Arabidopsis thaliana: one gene and its partners. The protein of the gene in region 2 interacts with the protein of the main gene of each other region in a biochemical or structural test. Each region holds a gene or a part of one and is shown on either strand. Other genes may lie near its edges. The genes, in order: PFA-DSP1, TOC34, OEP80 and AKR2.

Region 1 (5,606 bases), on a different chromosome or scaffold from region 2:
TACGGAAAGTTCTTTAACGGCATCCAAAACGCTTTCGTACGTGGCCGAGTGCTCGCGGCGCAATAATCCTTGAGAATCATAAGGTATATTCCCTGGAATGTACCTTTTTTGTTTTTCTTATAAAAAAACTATCTGGTGCATTTTGTTTTTATGGAGTAATTTATCCAATTAAAGTCCAGTGTGGGACACTAAACATTACAAATTTTATGTCTTTAGCTTAGTTATCATCTGTTTTTTTTTAATTAGAAAAGAGTAGTTTTCTGGTGTGAGTGTTATGTGGAAGACAAATATGTGACGTGGATTCTAATAATGTATTGTCGTGATGTGGTTCTTTTTGCATTATTTCGTTTTGATTATGTAATAGACATATATTTAAATGGTGCGATTATGCACCGAAGAAAAACATTCGTCTCCATTTTTCTTTATACGAAATTTGACCCCAAAAAAAAGGTAAAACACGGCGTCCGTGTTATTATGTAGTATCATGTATGACAGAAATGGCAACTACAGTAGATAGTTTGGACCGAATTTTATTTTCACACAATTAAATAGTTATTTCAAGGCAGTAACAAATTGGTGGAAAAAAAAAAAAAAAAGGCAGTAACAAATATTAAAACCGAATATTGGCTAAAATTATACATTTCAAAACAATATTATGAAATTGTTTAACAAAACAAAATGTGAAAGGAACATAGAAGTAATTAATGTACTCAGATTACGATCCCATAGAACTTAAATAAAGGTGCGTTTATGAATGCCAGATGACTCAGATTAGTGATTGTTCTTCCCACTTAGCAGAGTAATTGCTCTTTGTCCTTTGGAATCTCTCTCTCTCTTTTTATTTCTCTGTGTTTCGCTTGGAATCTATATTTTCGCTATTTCCTGGAATGATGATATATATGTATGTTAGTATGTAGTAGTCAATATTTTTGTATATTGTGAATAAGTGACTTTTTCAAGGTAAATATAGGTCAGAAACTTCAAATTCAAAATATTAAATATTATAATATTGGTGAAAATATATAGTCAAAAAATGATTTTAGGTTCGGTTGATAATTTATTCAATGAGAGTGATTTACCCGAATAAGATGATTGTGTGTGAGCAAAAAGATTCCACAATGATGCCAATTTAAGCTTCAACAAGTGCTTTCCTATTAACAAGAACAATTTATGTAATATCATTTTTTTCGTTTGTTTTGCAAAACTGCAAAGTCATTTTATTTTGTTTACTTTAATAATCCTTGAAAATGTTATAACAGTTATTTCCTCAAATTAGACCATCATACTATTATTATTGTTATTATCAACCGTTGATAAAAATGGTAGTAGCATGTACAACTAAGATAGACCGTTACAAAATTCGTGTATTGTTAATTATTATATAGTTTCCGTATGTTGCTGTTTTCAGCTCAACTTGAGTAAATATAAAATATTAAACTGTTTATTCTAATATTGGATTCTTTTGTGTAGTGGCAACTTATTTTTTTCTAAGCTTTTTTTTTTTACAGATTACGGATTTCAGTATGAAATTGTAGATCCAATCAACTATTTTCACATATGCTAAAAGGTATCTAAAAAGTAAAAACACTTAACAGATTATAAACAAAAAAGCTTTTAAGATAAATGTCACAAATTCTTTAAAAATAAACAAATAAACAGCTATTGACAAACAAAAAATAAAAATAAAAAAGGAGTCCTTGCTGGGTCCATCTCCTTTGCGTTCTTTTTCGTCTGTTGAATTTTGAACAGAGTCACAAGTCTCTCTCCATATAAACCTCCCCAAGGTCGACGCTACGTAACGACCATCTCCATTACTCGACTCTCCTCACCTAAAGATTCAACCTTTTCTCTGTTTCCCAATTCAGAGATGAAGCTTGTGGAGAAGACGACTACTACAGAGCAGGACAATGGAGAAGATTTCTGCCGCACCATCATCGAGGTTTCCGAGGTTAACAGAAACGTGTTTCAGGCTCCGGGCGGTGAAGCTGATCCCTTTCGAGTTGTCTCCGGCGAAGAACTTCACCTAATTCCGCCGCTCAACTTCTCCATGGTCGATAACGGTATATTCCGGTCTGGATTCCCTGATTCAGCTAACTTCTCCTTTCTCCAGACTCTCGGTCTCCGCTCAATCATGTAAAAGCTCCTTCCACATTCATGACATTTTGTATACTATATATCAAACTTTCGAAATTGCTGATTTTAGGTTTTTTCGAATTTGTGAAGATACTTGTGCCCGGAGCCCTACCCAGAGAGCAATCTCCAGTTCCTTAAATCCAATGGAATCAGGCTTTTCCAGTTTGGTATTGAAGGCAACAAGGTAACCATCTTTCTTCTCCTCTCTCTTCATCAAGTCTCCGTTTTTAATTGCTCTGTAATTCTAAACCTTACTTGGATAGTTCACTAGGAGAATTCTCTGAATGGAAAAATCATATCTTGCTGCAGTGTGTTCCTGACTTAGACAACGAGATTTCCTTGCATTTATGGAATTCTAAGCATCAGAAACAGGGTCCCTTAACTAATGGACTTTCGAAAACTTTGGTACACACTACATATATTAACTGGAACACGATACTATTTCTGGAATATATCATAGTTCATTCAATTTGAAGGGTTTTATTTGCTTGATATTTATTGCCTAATTGTTCTTGAAAATCCTGTCTCATTGTTGTTTACTTTAGACTACTAAAACTGTTTCTGTGTTTTCTTTCTCTTGAATTTGATCCTTCATGGGCACTCTGTTCCAAGCCATATTTTATTATTATGAGTTTACCAGAAAAAGAACACATCTTTCTTTATTGTTTTGCCTCTTTGGCTCTTTCCGTCTCTCTTGACCTCCACTGATTTGGTCCCACTCTTTGTTTTTCTGCCCCTTCAGCAACTATTCCCCACTTGTTCTTTCTACTCTCTATTTATAAAATTAGATTATGGACTACGTCAAAATATTTGCTGAGCTACTTGTTGCTAGTGTTGTCAATGATCCCACTACTCAATAGCTTACTTTCTGTTGTTATTGTTTTCTTGGTTCATGTTTATTGAGTGTGCACTTTTTTATACAGATATGATATCTTATGAAATCATACATCAGCGAAAGTGTTTTTGATTGTGTACAAGTAAACCGTTTTTTATGGTAAAAACTTGTAGAAAGCGTGTTGATCGTGAAAGTGTCCATATTAGCTGTAAGGTTTGAAATCTAGATAAGGTTAGGAATTGCTGGGAAAATGATAGATGGTTACGTTGTAAGTCGGTTAATGTTGTTTAATACGTACCTTTAGTTCCTTTCCTTTTCTATGTGTTAGTGGCTCATGTTTGGGCAAATCGTTGGTAAAGTGATAGAATAACCAAAAACTTCACCATAGAGTCTTGAACTTATTACCCTCATGAGTTACCATTCGCCTTTCCTGAAGAGATGGGTATGAATCTAATTTGAGTTGATATGTTTGAAAGAAAATATGTTTGTTCTGGTATGCAGTAGCTATCATTCTCTCCCCCCACAGAATCCACCTTTTCCCTGTCGATTCTACTCCTAGGATAGTCGATTCTTTATGTGGGGAGTCGTTTAGATACTTACTACCATAGTTCCCTAGTTTTGCTTTTACACTAAAGATGAAAATAAAGTGGCTTTCTCTTCTTGGTGTAGTGATTTTATTGGAAGAATCTGGATCTCATTGACTTTTGTTTTTGTTTCTGGACTCAGATTCTTTATAATTAGTGTGACAACTTCGATCTTGATAGGAAACCTTTATCGCTGATATTCTTGGCTTGCTATGCTTTTTTCTTCTCATAGATTCGTCTTTCAATGGGACTTTGTGTTTATTCCGTGTTGTTGTTGTTGTGTGTGGAGATAACTTTTTGATATAAAAAAGTAAAGAATCTTTCTCTCAGTACGCAACCAGTAAAAGGTATCACATTAGACATGCTTCATAACTTGTAGACTTTGTCCTGTTAATGAACCTTTGCATGGTTGTCTCTCTCGACGTTGCTTGTGCATGAACCTTGATTATTAGATTGCTTTATCTTTTCCTAATCTGCTCAATTTAGTAGTGTGATTGATCTTTTGACATATAATCTTACAATTTTAAAAAGACATTTTTTCTTCTTATTTTCAGGAGCCATTTGTGAATATTCCAGACCATAAAATCCGCATGGCACTGAAAGTGCTTCTAGGTAACTATGAATCATATAGAAGCGCTGAAATAAAAGAACACATGTAACCACACTTTTTGTATGCTTTCTAATTCTAACTTGGTTTATTAACAACTCTCCTTTTAAAATCCTCAGATGAGAAAAACCATCCTGTTCTGATTCATTGTAAGCGAGGCAAGGTAAATCATTCACTCCAATCCTAAACATTTCATCTTTTGTCTCCACCACTGAAGAAGAAAATGAGTTTCTAAGTATGAATCTGGAATTTGCAGCATCGGACCGGTTGTCTTGTTGGTTGCTTGAGGAAGCTCCAGAAATGGTGTTTGACATCGATATTCGACGAGTACCAACGATTTGCAGCAGCGAAAGCTAGAGTTTCAGATCAAAGATTCATGGAGATATTCGATGTTTCCAGCTTCAGTCATATTCCAATGTCATTCTCTTGTTCCATCAGGTAAACAGGGGAAGCTAAAATCTTCAGATAAAAAGGAGAGATTAATCATATTAGAGTTCCAGAGGAAACATTCTTCTCTTTCTTTACCTTTCTCTGGAATCAATAATACTATTTCGAGAAAAGAAAAGGTTTTCGTTGTTATAATGACTTCACTCTGTTTTTTTACTGCTCAGTGTAAGCATAAAGGTAGATAATTACGTATATATATAAAGTAAACTATACAGGAGTTTGTTTAGGAATATATGTATTTTCTTGGGTTATCCCGAATGTTGCTTAACGATTATTAGCTCATATATTTCAATTCTTCAGAACATGATTTGTTATTATCGTGTGTAGAGGAAAATGCTACTACCATCAGTGTGTAAATAATTTGTTCAATGTAATGCTAAACCGAAATATATGGACTAATTTGATTTACTGACCAATCATTAACATAACTCTATAACTTCTTTTTTGAATCAGTTACGGAATTAATCATTATTTTTATTAGTTGAAAAAGACATGCTAGATGTGTGAAGAGTTTGTTAAGTCACGAATATGAAACCTAACTAAGGCCAGTACCAATTTTTAGCTATAAGTGAGTGATAGTTGTCCTTATAGGTCACGAATACGAAACACTCTACTGGAGTGTTGTTAATCATTTACTTTAATAAAAAGCATGACACCGATTCTTCAACAACATGCAAAGCGCATTCTTGCTTGCGGCTACAAGAGTTCTTTGTTCCGTTCCTATGCAACCTTATGGTCACCCGAGGCTAGCCAAACTCTGCTTATTCGGGTCAAAGCGTCTTTGCAGCAACATGAGAAACAATTGTACACCAGAGGGCTCATAAGAATCTTCGAGATTCGGATCGATTTTCTCAAAAACGCGAGTTTTTTTTATTTCTTCTAAATCCTGATCTTCAACCTATGTACCAATTTGTGGTTTCTTACATATTATGTGCTCTTGGTTGTGGTATTATTAGGCATCAAGATATATGGGTAAAGAAAAGGTGTGTACTCTGTTTCA
Region 2 (4,768 bases):
CTAACCTTTTGGTTTGGTATTGATAGGGTCGACATCTGAAATCATGCCAAACCCAGAACCACTTCCATAACCACCGCCGCCACCACTGGATATGCTCAATTCATTGAAACCACTTTCAAGTCTTCCAGATCCCATTGAACCCATGGACGAAAATCCTCCTGGCTTATTCTTTTCAATCTAGGAATTACATAAGAAATATTAATAGGAGTTACAGAAATAGAATACAACAGCAGGGTGCGCTCCTGTCATGTACCTTGCTTTTGTCAATCTCATTAGCCTTACGCTTCATCACGTCCTTAGTGTCATTGATCTTGCTCTGCATAACCAGTTTATGCAACTTCTCCTCATGACTTTCCATTTCACAATACTGCTTCACCTGGGCAACTGTCACACTTTCCTTGTGCCCAAGAGATATGACTTCATCAAATGCAAATATGAGCTCAAAAGATGCCCTGGAAATCCCTTCTTCATCTAAAGACATGGAATACTCAGGTACCTAGAAACAATCAAATGATCAAACAGCACTTGGAACACTCACTTTTCAAAAGAACTAAGAACCAGTACACATCCAGAGTCAAGGCAATAATCTCCTCAAATAAAGTAGCAGAAGTAAAAAAAAAAGAAAGAAAGAAAGAAAGAAGCATACAAGTTTGGAGAGCAAAGTAAGGGTGGCCAGGTCTTCTAGAATGTTACTCTGCTTAGTTGTAACAAGAAGCAGGAACAGAGCTTCAATAGGCTGATAAACATATCGCACATTCTCCGTCTCGATATAGGTATGCTGCTTTCCCATTCCAACCAGCTTAGGAAAAGCTGCAAGTAGACCTTCGATTCTGATACGGGACATATCCACATAGTGTCTGGAAACAATCACTACATAAAAAAGAAGAAAGTTAGAAAAAACGCAAAAATATTGAAAAACGAGAATTCGAAGACAAAGTCAAAGATAGATGAAAATAACCTTTCCCAGACTTGACCACAATGGCAGCAGCAAGCACAACCTATAAAGCACAGGTTCCAACTTTAGAAAACGCGCCAGACACTCATCAAACACTAAAGTTAACACCAAATTGCGAAGATGCACTAAAAAGGAAAAAGAAAAAAACCAATCATAGAACAAAAGTCAATACCATTTTGATTATTCAGGCTCGAACAATCTCGGCGATTATAAGAAAGGTAATGCGAATCTGAAATACAAAGAACCAATGTTAGAGTAAATCCAGTTAGAGCGAGATCAGAAGAAACAAACGGGATTTGATCTTCAGGATCATAAATCACGTAATAGAGGAAGAGATCTCGAATACACGAATCCAAACGAAACTAGACTAGCGAATCGAAAATATAAAAAGAATTCATCGCAGATCCAGCGGATCTACGAGCATCAGAGGCTCATAATCGAAAAACATAACTGTAGAATCAAAATCAACACAAGCGGATCAAATTCATGAAACAGGATCGCGAAATTTAGAAGGAGGAGAAAATTCTTAATAATGGAGATCCACAGAAATGTAGCCAGAGAGAACATTCATTCAAAGGAAAACGAAAATCATCACCATCAGTGAAGGCGAAGAGCGAGAGAACAAGACGATACCTTGGGAGTGATCGAAGGAGATGAAATCACCAGTTTCTTCTTCACAAGCTCGCCGAGTAAAAAAGATGAAACGAGTCTCAGATTAAATCCTGGTGTGTGTGTTAGAGAAAAGACGATCCACAAAACAAGGACAAGTAATCTGGGCCGTTTCAGTTCCTTATTGGGCTTTCCAACCCAGTAAATGGAAGAAAAAATGCCAAAAGGGCAAATTCGTCATTGGTGCAGACCGACGACATTCGGTTTAGTCCGGTTGAATTTTGAAAGGAATGTACTTTCATGTATTGAGATTTGTAGCAATCAATCATCTTCAAAAGTCAATTTCAGTTCTAGGGTTTTAATTTGATACGAGGTCAGCGAATCCGGCGACGAATATCCGCCACTAGTAACTCTAGCTCAGGTAGGTTACTCTCTCTCTCGTTTTCTTTCTTTATCTGGTTTTCACTTCGTCCACTTAGAAGTATGCTCATTTGATAAATTGGCATTTGACCCCAGTTCAGGATTTAGGATTCTGATTATCTCTCAATACTTGATTAGTTTAGTGCTTAAGTTATTAGTTTTTGGTATGCCCACTTGCGCCATGTTCGTTTCTAAAGCAATGAGATTATTTTCATTTAAAGATCTGGAAAAAAGAAACTAATGGAGACAACGGCAAATGAAGATGGATTTTAAGGGTTTTTGTTCTTAGTAAAAAAAAGTTATCTTCTTTTTAATTTTCTGAGACTTTAATTGCTAGAAAGTTATAGGATTGATTCAGATAGTGGAATCAGACAACTTTTTCTTTTATGGGCGATTACTCATTTTTGTTCTTTGGTCTTCTGATTGTTTAGTTTCTTAGCAGATGATTTAGTCTTCTCTTTTGTGATCCTTTTTTGCTTTCCTTGGAAGTGTAGGTAAGGATTTGTGTCCATGGCAGCTTTGCAAACGCTTCGTGAATGGATCGGTATCCAGCAGTTCCCACCTGCTACTCAATCTAAATTGCTCGAGATCCTTGGGAAGTATAAAGAAGAGGTTCCTTTCTTGTTTCTAGCTTCATCTGCTTTCTGTTTGTTTCTTCTTGTCTTAGAGAGATTTAAGAAAGAAAAAAAACTGGTGTAGGATGTGAGCTCGCTAACGGTCCTTGTAATGGGGAAAGGTGGTGTTGGAAAGTCATCAACTGTGAATTCAGTTATAGGCGAGAAAGCTGCTGCAGTTAGTACTTTCCAGGTGCCAAGTTTAATGCTCTTCTCATGGCTTGTCTTTATGACTATTGGCTATCTTTCTTTTAATTTTTCTCATAGAAAGTGTGTGATTTTCCCTCTTTATAGTCTGAAGGACTGAGGCCTACCTTGGTCTCTCGCACAAGATCGGGATTTACATTGAATATCATCGACACTCCTGGTCTTATTGAGGGAGGATATGTGAATGATCAAGCCATCAACATTATAAAACGGTATGATGAACTGTTTCCAGGTCTAAGGAGTTACTCTCCTAATTTGGGGCTCATTTGTGGCATTTGTATTAATTTGGATTCGTGGATGTTGAATTTGAACAGATTTCTCCTCAACATGACTATAGATGTGCTACTATACGTAGACCGTTTGGATGTGTACCGGGTGGATGACCTTGATAGGCAAGTTGTCGGTGCTATAACTGATGCATTTGGTAAAGAGATATGGAAGAAGTCTGCTCTTGTTCTCACCCATGCTCAGTTCTCTCCACCAGACGGGTTAAATTATAACCACTTTGTCTCCAAAAGATCTAATGCTCTTCTAAAAGTTATCCAGACAGGCGCTCAACTGAAGAAACAGGATTTGCAGGTATAGTTTTTTCCTCCTTACATAAATGTCTGTAACGACCTTGATAGTAGTCAAGTTAATAGACTCACTTACCTCTGATCTTTTATTGTAGGGTTTTTCTATTCCTGTCATTCTTGTTGAGAACAGCGGAAGATGCCATAAGAACGAAAGCGATGAAAAGGTCAGTTGATTGGTTTTGTCCACGTTCTCTTTTTCTCGCGTCTTGTAGTAGTTGGACCAATCTTGAAGTCGGATTTTCCAAATTTGTGACAGATTCTTCCATGCGGGACTAGTTGGATTCCCAATCTGTTCAACAAAATCACAGAGATCTCTTTTAATGGCAACAAGGCGATTCATGTTGACAAGAAACTGGTCGAAGGGCCAAACCCAAACGAAAGAGGAAAAAAACTGATTCCTTTAATGTTTGCATTCCAAGTAAGCCCCTCTGAACCATTCAGTAACAATACAGAATAAGGCTTGATCAAAACATCATGCATCATTTATTCATCTTTTGATGGTTTGAAAATGCAGTACTTGCTGGTGATGAAGCCATTGGTTCGAGCAATCAAGTCCGATGTTTCGAGAGAGAGTAAACCGGCGTGGGAGCTGCGAGACTCCGGTTTAGCAAGTCGAAGGTCTTGAGTTGTGGACACGAGTTTTGTTTGGTTTGTTTGTCTATCTGAGAGATTGTTCTGTAGTTGAAATTGTGATACAACTCGAGAAATGTGGTTCACAGATAATTACTGTCGCAAAGTTCTCTCATCTTAATTACATCTTCTTTAGCCTCTCGTAAATCGTAATTAAGAGCTACTCTCTTGGTGAAAATGATTAGAAGAGATAATTCCATTTTGTCATTAATGGTAAAAGTAACCGCTGCAGTTATTTTTGACGCGATGCAAGTTTTGAAATAAAATAAAAATTTGAGTTAAAGAAAAAAAAAACCGATGTTTAAAGGAGGAATTTGGCAAACGGAGAAGACGGTTCAGAGAAGATCGTTTACTCTTTCCTCAATTTCGAACAAAGTTTTCGAATTTTCCAACTCTCTCTAGTGAATTTAGGGTTCTGATTTCGACATTAGTGTAAAGATTTGTTTTTTATCCGAGGGGTGCGATTGTGTAGTCAAACCAGATCAAATGTCGGCATCAACGGTGTCGATCACCGCTAATACGGCGGCAGCGACTAGACGGACGCCGATTCTTGCCGGAGAGAAAAAATCAAACTTTGATTACCCTCAAAGCGAATCGCTTGCGAACGGTGGTGTTGGGGAAGCCGGTGGTACGAGTAGAGATCTGAGCCGCGGTGAAGCTACCCTTGATCGATCTCAGGGACAAGATTTGGGTCCTGTGACGAGAAGGTCTGTTTCCGCTGCGACGGGGACTAATACCACCGCTACGCAGCGCCGGAC
Region 3 (6,906 bases), 5.1 Mb from region 2:
GGACAAAATAAACATTTGTAGTAAAAAGATTATAGTTAATGAACGTACAGAGGATGGATGTTTCATGATTCCGGTTAAAACTTGAAGAATCCTCATCATTACAGCATCTTCAGACACCAAATCTGTTTTCTCCAAACGACAACTAGTAATCCCGGAGACAATAGAATTCATAGCATCTTTTGCACCAGGTGTTTTCTCATCGAAGATCTCGATTTTAAGGATCTTTAAGATGGAGGAAAGAGCGACAGCTGTGGCGCTAGCCGGAATCTCATCGCTTTGAATAACTTCGAGGAAAGGAGAAAGATAAACCGAAGGATCTATGGTGCGCCAATCTTGTTGAGGATTGAAAATAAGAGCTCTAAGAGATTTGAGAGATTGTTGGACTGATGAATCACAGTGGTCTGTTTCTTGGGGAGAAAGGTAACTTTCTGAAAGGGGTCTACGAATGACGGCAAGGACTGCACCAACCTCCGTGTTAAGCATGCATGATATCCCTAGCTCTTTCCGCTTTGCTCTTACGGCGATACGATCCATTTCTCACCTTATCACACTCTTCTTGCCGATAAAGAAGAAAAATCATTCAGCAACTGTTTTTTTTGTTGTTCTTCGTTTTTATTCTTTATGTGTACGGTGTTGCCTTGCCTTGGTTTGATCCTATATTTAGTATATAAGTTTTAGTGGCTGAGACTCAGTGATGGGTGAGTTTCAACCATTTGTCATCACACATCTAGGAAAACTCCATCATCAGCTACCGTCAATTTCTTTAAGGCTTAAGATAGAAAACTAATGTACGTTCTGCAAAAATTCAGATTTAAGGATACATTATTTGGATCAAACGTATGTGTTCAAGGTTTTTTTTTCTTCTTCTTTTAAAGTAGAAGCAAACTCTACGATGATTGGAGTGGAAACCATTTTTGTAGGATTAGGCCTCTTCATACTGATCTGAGTCAGACTTTGCATAGCTGAAGTTTTTTTCCTCTACTATTCAATTAACCAGTAGAGAAAAACTGACGCTTAAGAGGTTAATGGAGCTTAAATTTTACCAAATTCAGACCATAACTCTATTTATGTACTGGTCCTAGTGTTTCCAAGAGAATATATCTCTCAGCTTAAATTTTACTAAAATTCAGACCATAACTTATTTATGTACTGGTCCTAATAAGATGAATGTTTTAAGGGTTTATGGCTTGCTTAAGAAGAGCCAAAACTCTCTATAATTAACAAGTCTAAAATTGACAAAATTAATATAATTGGTTTTGTTACATGTTTGTGACCATAACTACTAAAAAAATTCACAGAAAAACTATTCAATAATCCTTGTTTGTTCATGTGTGTGATCTATTAATCAATAAAATCAAGAAAATGGATAGGAGAAATCAACTAACGTTTTTTTCTCAAAAATCTATTTATTTATTTTGATTAACATGTTTTGAACGTTAGTTAACTAATTTACCCTACAAAAAACTAATTTACCGTCAAATAAATGAGAAATCCCCTTAATGAGAAATTGATTATTTTCCAAAATATTTATTTGACGCAATTTTATTTTCATTTTTGAAAATCCAGTAATTTTACAAAACCTAATAATATACTCAAAGGAATGTTTACATAAAACATTCAAAAAAATAATTTGTTTTTTGTTTGTTCGTAAATGGGCTTTAACATCACCTCCTTTTCACTCTATCATCTTCTACTCCGAGTCTCCGAATCAAAAAAAACCCTAGCTCTTATTTTTTGTTCTTAGATTTTATCTCTTAAGCTCTTCTTCTTCCTTGACATTTCCTCAATTTCACTCCCGAGTACGATTAACAATGCATTGTCACAACGATGATGTTCGCTTCTCTTCATCTTCTATCAGAATCCATTCTCCATCTCCCAAAGAACAACACTCTTTACTCACCAATCTCCAATCCTGCTCTAAAACCTTCGTCTCTCACCTCTCAAATACTCGTAACTCACTAAACCAAATGCTCCAGTCGCTAAAGAATCGCCACACTCCTCCTCCACGTTCGGTTCGTCGTCCCAATTTACCGACTCAGATGCTCAATTCAGTAACCCAGCTTATGATTGGGAAGTCTTCTCCAATTTCATTGTCTCTTATCCAATCCACCCAATTCAATTGGTCTGAATCAAGAGATGAGAACGTTGAGACAATCCGTGGACTAAGCTCGCCTCTGCTCTGTTGTGCCTCTTTGTCTCTAACTAGACCTAACGAGTCGACTCAGTCAGTGGAAGGGAAGGATACAGTACAGCAGCAGAAGGGTCACTCGGTGAGTCGAAATGCGGAGGAACGAGTTCTGATTAGTGAGGTTTTAGTAAGAACGAAAGATGGTGAGGAACTTGAGAGGAAGGATTTGGAAATGGAGGCATTGGCTGCTTTGAAAGCTTGTAGAGCTAATTCAGCGTTGACTATTCGTGAGGTACAGGAGGATGTACATAGGATTATAGAAAGTGGGTACTTTTGCTCTTGTACTCCTGTTGCTGTTGATACACGAGACGGGATTCGGTTGATGTTTCAGGTAATATTTTGATTGTTACTCTTTTTGTTGGAGGAGAAAGGTCTCGTTTTTATGTTTCTGGGATGCAAATAATTCTCATTTTCTTGCCATAAGGTAGAACCAAACCAAGAATTTCGTGGGTTAGTCTGTGAAAATGCAAATGTTCTTCCTTCCAAGTTCATACATGAAGCTTTCCGAGATGGGTTTGGTACGTATCCTCCAATTTAGCTTGTTTTTTTTTCTTCTGTACTGTACTAGACTTATCTGTCAATTCATTGATTTACGTTGGGAGTAAAATGGATTAATGATATTGGAACCTGACAAATATTTCGAGTACTAATGATGAAGCTAAGAATTTTCTAACACATGGTGTAAAATGTGTTAGCCTTGAATGAAGAAGATAGATTAGAGGTAGGTAGTATTCTCAAAATGTATCCATGCTCCAAAACAGAGCATAATTTGAAGTTGCATTTAGTTTACACATATTAATGTATTGAGGCTAGTTAGGTGGATTCCTTCTGTTCGGTGTGTGTTTGATTGGAGAGGGTAATGGTTAGTAAATGTTGGTGTCAAGCTGTGTAGGGAAAGTGATTAATATTAAGAGACTGGAAGAAGCTATTACATCCATCAATGGATGGTACATGGAGCGTGGTCTTTTCGGAATTGTAAGTGCTCTTTTTACACCATAATTACTTTTTCAAAAAAAAAAATCATCCTGGATTCAGTCTTATACTTTGTGGTTAGAATCATCATTCTGTTGTCTGCCATTGTAGGTTTCAGATATTGATACGCTTTCTGGAGGTATAGTAAGGCTTCAGGTTGCTGAAGCAGAGGTTAACAACATATCCATCCGATTCCTTGATCGTAAGACGTAAGCTGGTGCCAATCCCTCCCTTATGAATGTAGTTTATATTGGTTTAAATTGTAGGCAATTCTGGATGGCACTGGTAGCTTCCTTTTATTTCAACTATTAGATTACGATTTCATTGATAATGGTGCCTTCTATATTTAGTGGGGAACCAACTAAAGGGAAGACTAGCCCTGAGACAATACTACGGCAACTTACAACAAAGAAGGGACAGGTATTTTTTGGGCATTTCTCAGCTTAGATGTAAAGATAAGTCGCTGACTAAAACATCATAAACTATCTGAGCTGTATTTTTATGCTAAATAACACTTCTGAGTGCATCATCTGTGTATGAAATCCTTTGGAGATCTTATTTTTAATTAAGGTTAATCACTCTTTATGGTATCATGTATGTTTCTTCGTAAAATTTGGCCTTAAAGTCTTTATGCATGAGCGTCTAAGTAGGGCCTCTACATACACATCTTGTCTAATCTGGCTTTTGGTCAATTTAGGTCTACAGCATGCTTCAAGGGAAGAGGGATGTAGACACTGTGCTAGCCATGGGAATCATGGAAGATGTTAGTATTATTCCTCAACCTGCAGGAGGTGTGTAAATATATTTCTTTCTTTTCAGCTAATACTTTTAATTTTCATCTTGTGCTTAAGGTGCAGTAGTATGAGTGAAGAAAGTATTTTCCTTGCTTATCCTTAGGCACAGTAACAAAAGGTTTTGACAGTGTCTGATTCTGAAACTTTCTTCTTTTCCTTGTTTTTTATTCCTGTTAGATAGTGGGAAGGTTGATTTGATCATGAACTGTGTCGAGCGTCCCAGTGGAGGCTTCTCTGCTGGTGGTGGGATATCTAGTGGGTAAGTTTTAGTTTGTTTGCTACTTACAGCGATTCAATTTTTTTCTTTTGTAGCTTGATGACAACTTTTGTCCAATTCTTTTGTAGGATCACAAGTGGCCCCCTATCAGGATTAATTGGAAGGTAAAAGTAATGTATATTTTATTTGTAATGATTTTTTTTTTATTTCTGGCCTAGGCTGTGTGTATTACATTACTGATGTAGTTGAAGTAATCATTTTATGCAGCTTCGCTTATTCCCACCGCAATCTGTTTGGAAGAAACCAGAAGCTTAATGTTTCCTTAGAGAGGGGTCAAATTGACTCTATATTTCGTATAAACTACACTGATCCATGGATTGAAGGAGATGACAAGAGGACGTCCAGATCTATTATGGTTCAGGTAACACCTTTACTGGTTATCTCAATGAGATTGCTGAGATGACTAATAAACTAATGAACTTCATCTTGAGTTAGAATTCAAGAACACCGGGGAATCTTGTTCACGGCAATCAACCAGACAATAGTAGTCTCACAATTGGTCGGGTTACAGCAGGTGTTGAATACAGTCGTCCATTCAGGCCAAAGTGGAATGGTACTGCTGGACTTATATTTCAGGTCTCTACTGTTCCCAATATTTTCTAAGTTTCTGTACCAATCCAGAGTAATATTGGTGTTAAAGCAATTAAAATATATGTTCTTGTCGTTTCTGACTAGATCCAAACTGGTAAATTTTTTACTTTTTGACCAATATATACGTTACCCTTAATTTCGTTTTGAATTTCATGTTTCAGCATGCTGGTGCTCGTGATGAACAAGGAAACCCTATCATTAAGGACTTCTACAGTAGCCCTCTAACTGCAAGGTATATATATGTCCCAATTCCCAAAGAATGATTTGTCTTTGGTTCTGCTCACTGTTTTCACCAATGCTGTATTTGGCCATATGAATTTGATAGATGCCATTATTAATGTTTTCTCATGCAGTGGTAAGCCCCATGATGAGACCATGCTAGCAAAACTTGAAAGCATTTATACTGGCTCAGGTGACCAAGGATCAACGATGGTCAGTCTGATACCTCTGTTGGTACATCTTCCCCTTCTTTTTTCAGTGCCTAATTCTATCTGTATTTTTATACCAGTTTGCGTTTAACATGGAACAAGGGCTTCCTGTTTTGCCCGAATGGTTATGTTTCAATCGAGTGACTGGACGTGCCAGGAAAGGCATACACATTGGACCAGCTCGTTTCCTTTTTAGGTATGCTAACTTCCTTTGAGGCATATAATTTTCTTGAGGTCTCTATTTACCTTTTGGGATTCGAATCATCATTTCTAAAGTTTTATATAGTGTATCTTACCTTGTTCATGTTTATAGTCTGTCTGGTGGACATGTGGTGGGAAAATTTTCACCTCATGAAGCATTCGTCATCGGTGGAACAAACAGCGTAAGAGGTTACGAAGAGGGCGCTGTAGGATCTGGTCGGTCATATGTAGTTGGTTCAGGGGAGCTGTCTTTCCCAGTGGTGGGTTTTTCTTTGAACATTCCTAAGATCTCATTTCACAATGGTGTAAAAATCATGACTCTCATTCTTACCCTATTGTGCAGAGAGGACCGGTCGAAGGCGTCATTTTTACAGATTATGGCACTGATATGGGATCAGGATCCACCGTCCCAGGTACAGACTAGGCTTTCGTTTTTTTTTTCTCCTTCTGAGCCTTTCCATATATGCTTGTAATAGCTTTAGAATCTCAGGGAACCTTCATCTTTGTTATTTTCTGCCCTTTAGGTGATCCTGCGGGGGCAAGACTGAAGCCCGGAAGCGGTTATGGATATGGTTTAGGGGTGCGTGTTGATTCCCCGTTGGGGCCGCTACGCCTTGAATATGCCTTCAACGATCAACATGCGGGAAGGTTTCACTTTGGGGTTGGTCTGCGGAACTAAATTTTCCTGTTTCTTTTTTAGATTCGATAAGTGTTTTGTCGGCCTTTGTCGCACATTCATCTAGATGATGCTTGTCTATTTTGATAATTTATATCATCTTATGTAACTCACTGTTTTGTGAGTGGTTTGTGCATGGAGAGAGATGTCGCGTATGAATGCTTTTCATGTAGATGATTTTCATTTTACCAAACTCCCAGTTAAAATTATTAATAGAACCAAGATTAGGATTTTTATTCTTCATCCTAGTATGAACCTGATTTGTCTCCTTAGGATGTCACATGATCGTGAGCAAACTCTTCTCGATGCAATTGCAAAGCTTGAAGAAATGTCCGATAGAGTGATAATAACTCAACATATGAAAACAAGTCTTTTAGTGCGTAGTGTACAGGGACATCAAACTCCTATCGTGCTAGTAAAGATTTATCCAAGTAATTTCCGGACATACACCAACGTAGTTCGACGAGGATGTAATAATCCCCTAAGGTCTATCTTTTCATGTGGTATTTTACAGGGATGAAATAAATTTACATATAATATCGGTCACCTGAGAATCATATTCAGGTCCTTCCATCTGGAAATGACTAACGCCTTCAATGAGGTGTGTTTCAGTGCGTCCGACTGCAGATTTCAGCTTCTTCTTTAGCTGGCTAACGCTAGTGAACCCGTCTTGTGTTCCCATTACGAAGAGTTTGGGTTTAGGGGATGAGAGAATGGCCTTGTGGTGTCGCCCAAAGAGAATCGAGGCCATTAGGCCAAATGGGTATCCCAAACTCACA
Region 4 (4,883 bases), on a different chromosome or scaffold from region 2:
TAAGTTCAAATAGCAGTAGTACTGCTGTAAGAGGAACTTGACAAACCCCCGCAAGTGTAGCAGCCATTCCAACCTGTTAAACAATGAGACAAACAGGATCATTGGCAATGAAGCTACAAAAAAACTAGCATCCATTCTCAGTTAACCCGAAAAAATATTCTGTTCAAAGTATTGATAGGTAACCAATCAAGAAAGTCTGAAATTAAGACAATTTTGAAACATTGACCACATAAGAACAGTACCAGACCATAAGCTTGTGGAGATGCCACTTCCAAGATAGAGAGATTGAAATCAGGGTTCTGAGCCAAAGCAAGTCCAATAAACTTTCCATAGGCCATTCCTGCTGCCCCGCCAATAAAGAGAGAAGGAGCATAGTATCCACCGACAAGTCCAGAAGCCCGACACCATGCGGTTGCAGCTATCTTGACCGCTACCAGCTGAAGCAAAAGATCAGCTGAAAGACCCTTCACAAATGGACGTTTCTCCAACAAAATATCCACATTCTGAAAACCCCAGTATAATACTTCAGGGTATACCAAAGCTATGATACCAACACTTAATCCACCCATTACAGGAAATACAGCCTTTGGTATCCCAGCATCCTTGTTAAGACTGTCAACAGCAGATGTCATGGATGATGTACATCGAGATAATGCCAACGAGACCAAGCCACACAGAGCGCCCAATAAAAGATAGAGTGGAAGTTCTGAAAATCAGTGACCAGCTCTCATAAGTTTGGTTTCTGGTTCCCTTGCGTAAAAAGCATAAGAATGGCAATGCATATTACCTCCAGGAGAGCGGAAGTCATAGTCAGGAACCTTAAACGCAGGTTCAGAGCCGAGACCGATTTCGGAAACCACAGAAGCAGTAACAGCACTAAGAATAACCATAGAAGTTGTGTTTGGAAGTGAAGTTGATGAATCAGTTGATGAAGAAGGCCACAAAACGGATTCAACTGCAAAGAAGCATCCAGCCACAGCTGCATTGAACCCTGTAACAACATATAACAAAGTCCTCTTAACGAATCAATCAAGAGTTCCATACGCAAGAGAGAACAACATTAGCAAATATCAGATGAACAAACCAGAGGAAATGCCAGCAGCTGAGCCAGCGGCAAGAAGTGAGAAGCCAGTCTGAGGACTTTTATTGAACAGAGAATTCACACCTTTAGCGATTGACGCTCCAATTTCAACACTTGGACCTTCCGGCCCCAGCGAATTTCCAGTCCCAAGCGTCACACATGCGGCAACAGTCTTAAGGAAAGGACGCAACACTGCCTTTACGCGATCGAGACTAGAATGAGAATCTCCAGTAGATTTTCCAGCAGATTCTCGAAGCTGATTGAGGATGCTCACCACCAAACCGCCGATAGTCGGAACAAGGATAACACGCAACCAATTGGAACCGATCGGTGCCTCTCTAAGCCACGAAGCTCCACGATCAGGAATCCCATCCCAGGAAAAGTCTCGAAGCAAGTGAACACAGTTGTTGAATAGAACCACACTAACTCCAGTGAGAACACCAACCAAACAAGCCGACGCTATCGCAAGCTCCTGAGACGGCTGCTGATCAAATCCAACCTCATCCTGATCAGTCTCCTGCTTCGCCGCCGGTAAACGCGGGAAAATTCTACCGCCAATAGCGACGGAACCGAAAAACGGTGAAAGGACGACATTGAACTGAAAAGGAACGTCGGTTTTGTGAATTGGAGCGAATCTCCGGGAAGAGACGGGAGATCGGAGGGCAGCACAGAGTGGAAGCGTGGCTGCCATGAACGGCTGCTTCCGTGAAGTGACGCGTGTTTATCCATTAACGGATAATTTGATCTTAAATCACAAATCTTACGTGGCTGATCTTATTATTCAAACGCATGGGCTTGGGCCTTGAGGTAAACAGGTTTATATGGGCCAATAACAATAAATTTGATTAAAAATAAAAGGCCTCTTAGCTTTAGGTTCAAACTTCAATGGAGAAGCAGTGGCTGTTGTCCCTCGCAGTTGATCTTCTTCTCAATCCAAAATCCAGCTGATAAATAAATAATTTTTCTCTTGTCGTCATATTAAAAAAAAGAAAGATTATCTGTATTTCAAGTTTCATGAGCGTTTGCCACCACAACATTGTCTTTTCGGGTTAATTTCTTCTTCTTCTTCCTTTTCTTACTAAATTCTCTTAGGTAGTTGTCGATTCGATTTCTTTGTCTTCCTCTTCGCTTATTTTCGTTGAATCTCTTGTTTACACCTTTTCCTGAAAACAAAATTGTGTTTTTTGTAGGGTTTTAGTCATACTTAATGGCTTCCAATTCGGAGAAAAATCCTCTTCTTTCAGGTGATTATTTTCTTCTCAGTATACAATCTGATCTGCGATAATGAATCGTTTCTAGTCAGATTTGGTTATTGGTTCATTGTAATTTGTTTACTGTAGATGAGAAACCCAAATCGACGGAGGAGAATAAGAGTTCTAAGCCGGAATCAGCTTCTGGGAGTTCAACTTCATCAGCTATGCCTGGCTTGAATTTCAATGCTTTTGATTTCTCTAATATGGCTAGTATTCTCAACGTAAGTTACCTTTGCTGTTAGCACAATTGAAAAGTTATCTTCTTTGAGTTTTTTTTTAATTGATAATGGTTTTTTTTGTAGGATCCTAGCATCAGAGAAATGGCTGAGCAAATAGCTAAAGATCCTGCGTTTAACCAATTGGCTGAGCAGCTTCAGAGATCTATTCCTAACGCTGGCCAGGAAGGTGGTTTCCCTAACTTTGATCCTCAACAGTATGTCAATACAATGCAACAGGTTATGCATAACCCTGAGTTTAAGACAATGGCCGAGAAACTTGGTACCGCCTTAGTTCAGGTTAGGAATTGATGACTTTTTCCATCTAATCGAGGTGTGGCTTTGAATGAAGCTCTGTGTCTTATCTGATTTTATTTATTTTTTTTGCCTACAGGATCCACAAATGTCTCCTTTTTTGGATGCTTTCTCGAATCCTGAAACAGCAGAACACTTTACTGAGCGTATGGCGCGGATGAAAGAAGATCCAGAGTTGAAACCTATACTAGATGAGATTGATGCTGGTGGTCCTTCTGCCATGATGAAGTGAGTGATACAAACTTCTTTCAATGTTTTTTAGAGAAACTGTAGAGTTTGTTTCTGTTTATGAAGGAAGAATTATTTATTCTGTTTTAGGTACTGGAATGATCCAGAAGTGCTGAAAAAGCTGGGTGAAGCAATGGGTATGCCTGTTGCTGGCTTACCAGACCAGACTGTTTCAGCTGAACCTGAGGTAGCAGAAGAAGGTGAAGAAGAAGAGTCTATTGTTCACCAAACTGCCAGTCTTGGTGATGTTGAGGTTAGACTGCTTCCTACGTTAATATGCTTGACCATGTGAGATTTATCTTGCGTGTTGCTTGAGGAATTAGATGTTCCAAGTTTTGTTTTGTTGAACTCGTTATTGGATTTTTATTCGTTGATTCATTAGGGTTTGAAAGCTGCCTTGGCATCTGGTGGTAACAAAGATGAAGAAGATTCTGAAGGAAGGACAGCATTGCATTTTGCTTGTGGATACGGCGAGGTATGCAATTCTCTTATCAATTCACGGCAATTAAATATTCGGATTTAGATGGTTCTCTTTTTTTCAGTAGCTGTGAAGTTAAGAATCTTTATAATCATTCAATTGGTAGAAAAGTAACCAGTCTACTTACGTCTACGAGTTTCATGACACAATTACTTATAGCAAGTTCAAATATTTGGTGAAAGAGCAATGAGATGGAACTGGCGATTACTTGCATACTAAAGATTTTGCTTATGAATATGGATTGAACTGAGTTTAACCCTGTTGAGCCCTATCAACAGTTGAAATGTGCTCAAGTTCTTATCGATGCTGGAGCAAGTGTTAATGCGGTTGACAAAAACAAGAACACACCTCTGCATTATGCTGCTGGTTACGGGAGGAAAGAGTGTGTAAGCCTTCTCCTGGAGAATGGTGCTGCAGTGTAAGTCTCACAACACAGTACTTATAATGAAACAACTCCATTAAACACTGTTTCAGGACTTTAATTATATGTGCTTTGGTTGATGTGTGTGGTTGCAGCACTCTGCAAAACCTAGACGAGAAGACGCCAATTGATGTAGCGAAGCTCAACAGCCAGCTGGAGGTGGTGAAGCTGCTTGAGAAGGATGCTTTCCTTTGAGCTCTGCTGGTTAAAGGAAAGCTCTAAGCTCATATTGTCTTTGAGGCATTTGTCTTGTGTGTGTCCTGAACCAGTTTCACAGGCTTTTTGTGTACACTTTTTATTAGTTCCTCTCTTCTTCTAAATTTGTCTCTTATGTTGTTTTAAAAGTCAATAAAGAAAGAAATAGCAATCAATGATTTAATTTATGATTATATTCTTTATTTCGTCGACCTCTACAGAATGATTCAATTTGGAAGAATCATTCTGGTTTGGAGGATATGTAAGAAAAACTACTTGATCTCCAAGTTATTCCATTCTTCTGTTACTGTATTGCCCAAATTCCCAAGCTTGACAATATTTACGCAAAGCTCAAAACCCAAAATATTTGAGAATCAAAACAAAATCAAGGGTCTTGTCTTTTTTTTTTTTTTTGGTGTGAATCAAAGGTCTTGTCTTTGCAAGTAAATTCGTTCCTAATGAACTGTGTGAGTCGTTTAAAGTGTTTGATAAGCAAAGCACGAAGCTTTGCACGGCTTGGTGGTGAATCCACTCTCTCTCAACCGCCGTCTCTCGCCTCCGCCGCGTTTTCTTCATCCGCCGTCATGAATGGTCTCGAAACTCACAACACAAGGCTCTGTATCGTAGGAAGTGGCCCAGCGGCACACACGGCGGCGATTTACGCAGCTAGGGCTGAACTTAAACCTCTTCTCTTCGA

Evidence for each region.
Region 1: the proteins of TOC34 (region 2) and PFA-DSP1 form a complex in vitro, tested with the Arabidopsis thaliana proteins (one study listed by BioGRID).
Region 3: the proteins of TOC34 (region 2) and OEP80 form a complex in vitro, tested with the Arabidopsis thaliana proteins (one study listed by BioGRID).
Region 4: the proteins of TOC34 (region 2) and AKR2 form a complex in vitro, tested with the Arabidopsis thaliana proteins (one study listed by BioGRID).

What each region holds. Positions count from the first base shown.
Region 1 is NC_003070.9:1,423,793-1,429,398, forward strand, and holds PFA-DSP1 (Phosphotyrosine protein phosphatases superfamily protein), read left to right. Parts: upstream 1-1,746; 5' UTR 1,747-1,867; coding exon 1,868-2,133; intron 2,134-2,223; coding exon 2,224-2,317; intron 2,318-2,442; coding exon 2,443-2,538; coding exon of another isoform or gene 2,539-2,607; exon of another isoform or gene 2,608-4,106; coding exon 4,107-4,164; intron 4,165-4,278; coding exon 4,279-4,322; intron 4,323-4,415; coding exon 4,416-4,601; 3' UTR 4,602-5,077; downstream 5,078-5,606. Other genes in the region: AT1G05005 (PPR containing protein), read left to right, coding at 5,256-5,469. UniProt on the Arabidopsis thaliana protein: Cleaves the beta-phosphate at the 5-position of soluble inositol pyrophosphates.
Region 2 is NC_003076.8:1,473,499-1,478,266, reverse strand, and holds TOC34 (translocon at the outer envelope membrane of chloroplasts 34), read left to right. Parts: upstream 1-1,832; 5' UTR 1,833-1,985; exon of another isoform or gene 1,986-2,478; 5' UTR 2,479-2,494; coding exon 2,495-2,596; intron 2,597-2,683; coding exon 2,684-2,791; intron 2,792-2,892; coding exon 2,893-3,017; intron 3,018-3,119; coding exon 3,120-3,384; intron 3,385-3,475; coding exon 3,476-3,544; intron 3,545-3,636; coding exon 3,637-3,798; intron 3,799-3,894; coding exon 3,895-4,005; 3' UTR 4,006-4,240; downstream 4,241-4,768. Other genes in the region: AT5G05010 (clathrin adaptor complexes medium subunit family protein), read right to left, coding at 6-177, 254-496, 647-870, 959-998, 1,128-1,130; SUN1 (SAD1/UNC-84 domain protein 1), read left to right, coding at 4,497-4,768. UniProt on the Arabidopsis thaliana protein: GTPase involved in protein precursor import into chloroplasts. Seems to recognize chloroplast-destined precursor proteins and regulate their presentation to the translocation channel through GTP hydrolysis.
Region 3 is NC_003076.8:6,621,512-6,628,417, forward strand, and holds OEP80 (outer envelope protein of 80 kDa), read left to right. Parts: upstream 1-1,685; 5' UTR 1,686-1,811; coding exon 1,812-2,519; intron 2,520-2,612; coding exon 2,613-2,706; intron 2,707-3,080; coding exon 3,081-3,163; intron 3,164-3,271; coding exon 3,272-3,369; intron 3,370-3,510; coding exon 3,511-3,580; intron 3,581-3,857; coding exon 3,858-3,951; intron 3,952-4,131; coding exon 4,132-4,213; intron 4,214-4,299; coding exon 4,300-4,335; intron 4,336-4,438; coding exon 4,439-4,592; intron 4,593-4,666; coding exon 4,667-4,807; intron 4,808-4,983; coding exon 4,984-5,054; intron 5,055-5,175; coding exon 5,176-5,254; intron 5,255-5,330; coding exon 5,331-5,446; intron 5,447-5,563; coding exon 5,564-5,711; intron 5,712-5,794; coding exon 5,795-5,864; intron 5,865-5,975; coding exon 5,976-6,130; 3' UTR 6,131-6,383; downstream 6,384-6,906. Other genes in the region: GNL2 (GNOM-like 2), read right to left, coding at 49-534; AT5G19630 (alpha/beta-Hydrolases superfamily protein), read right to left, coding at 6,636-6,906. UniProt on the Arabidopsis thaliana protein: Plays an essential role during early stages of plastid development.
Region 4 is NC_003075.7:16,837,574-16,842,456, forward strand, and holds AKR2 (ankyrin repeat-containing protein 2), read left to right. Parts: upstream 1-1,958; 5' UTR 1,959-2,173; exon of another isoform or gene 2,174-2,271; 5' UTR 2,272-2,288; coding exon 2,289-2,325; intron 2,326-2,354; exon of another isoform or gene 2,355-2,421; coding exon 2,422-2,555; intron 2,556-2,636; coding exon 2,637-2,849; intron 2,850-2,943; coding exon 2,944-3,092; intron 3,093-3,158; coding exon 3,159-3,345; intron 3,346-3,474; coding exon 3,475-3,567; intron 3,568-3,848; coding exon 3,849-3,988; intron 3,989-4,086; coding exon 4,087-4,186; 3' UTR 4,187-4,376; downstream 4,377-4,883. Other genes in the region: CLC-E (chloride channel E), read right to left, coding at 1-73, 243-706, 788-991, 1,085-1,772; NTRB (NADPH-dependent thioredoxin reductase B), read left to right, coding at 4,645-4,883. UniProt on the Arabidopsis thaliana protein: Exhibits chaperone activity toward chloroplast outer envelope membrane, mitochondrion outer membrane, endoplasmic reticulum membrane and peroxisomal proteins, by recruiting specific proteins containing a single transmembrane associated with an AKR2A-binding sequence (ABS) and subsequently binding glycolipids (e.g. monogalactosyldiacylglycerol (MGDG) and phosphatidylglycerol (PG)) present in the membrane of the target organelle.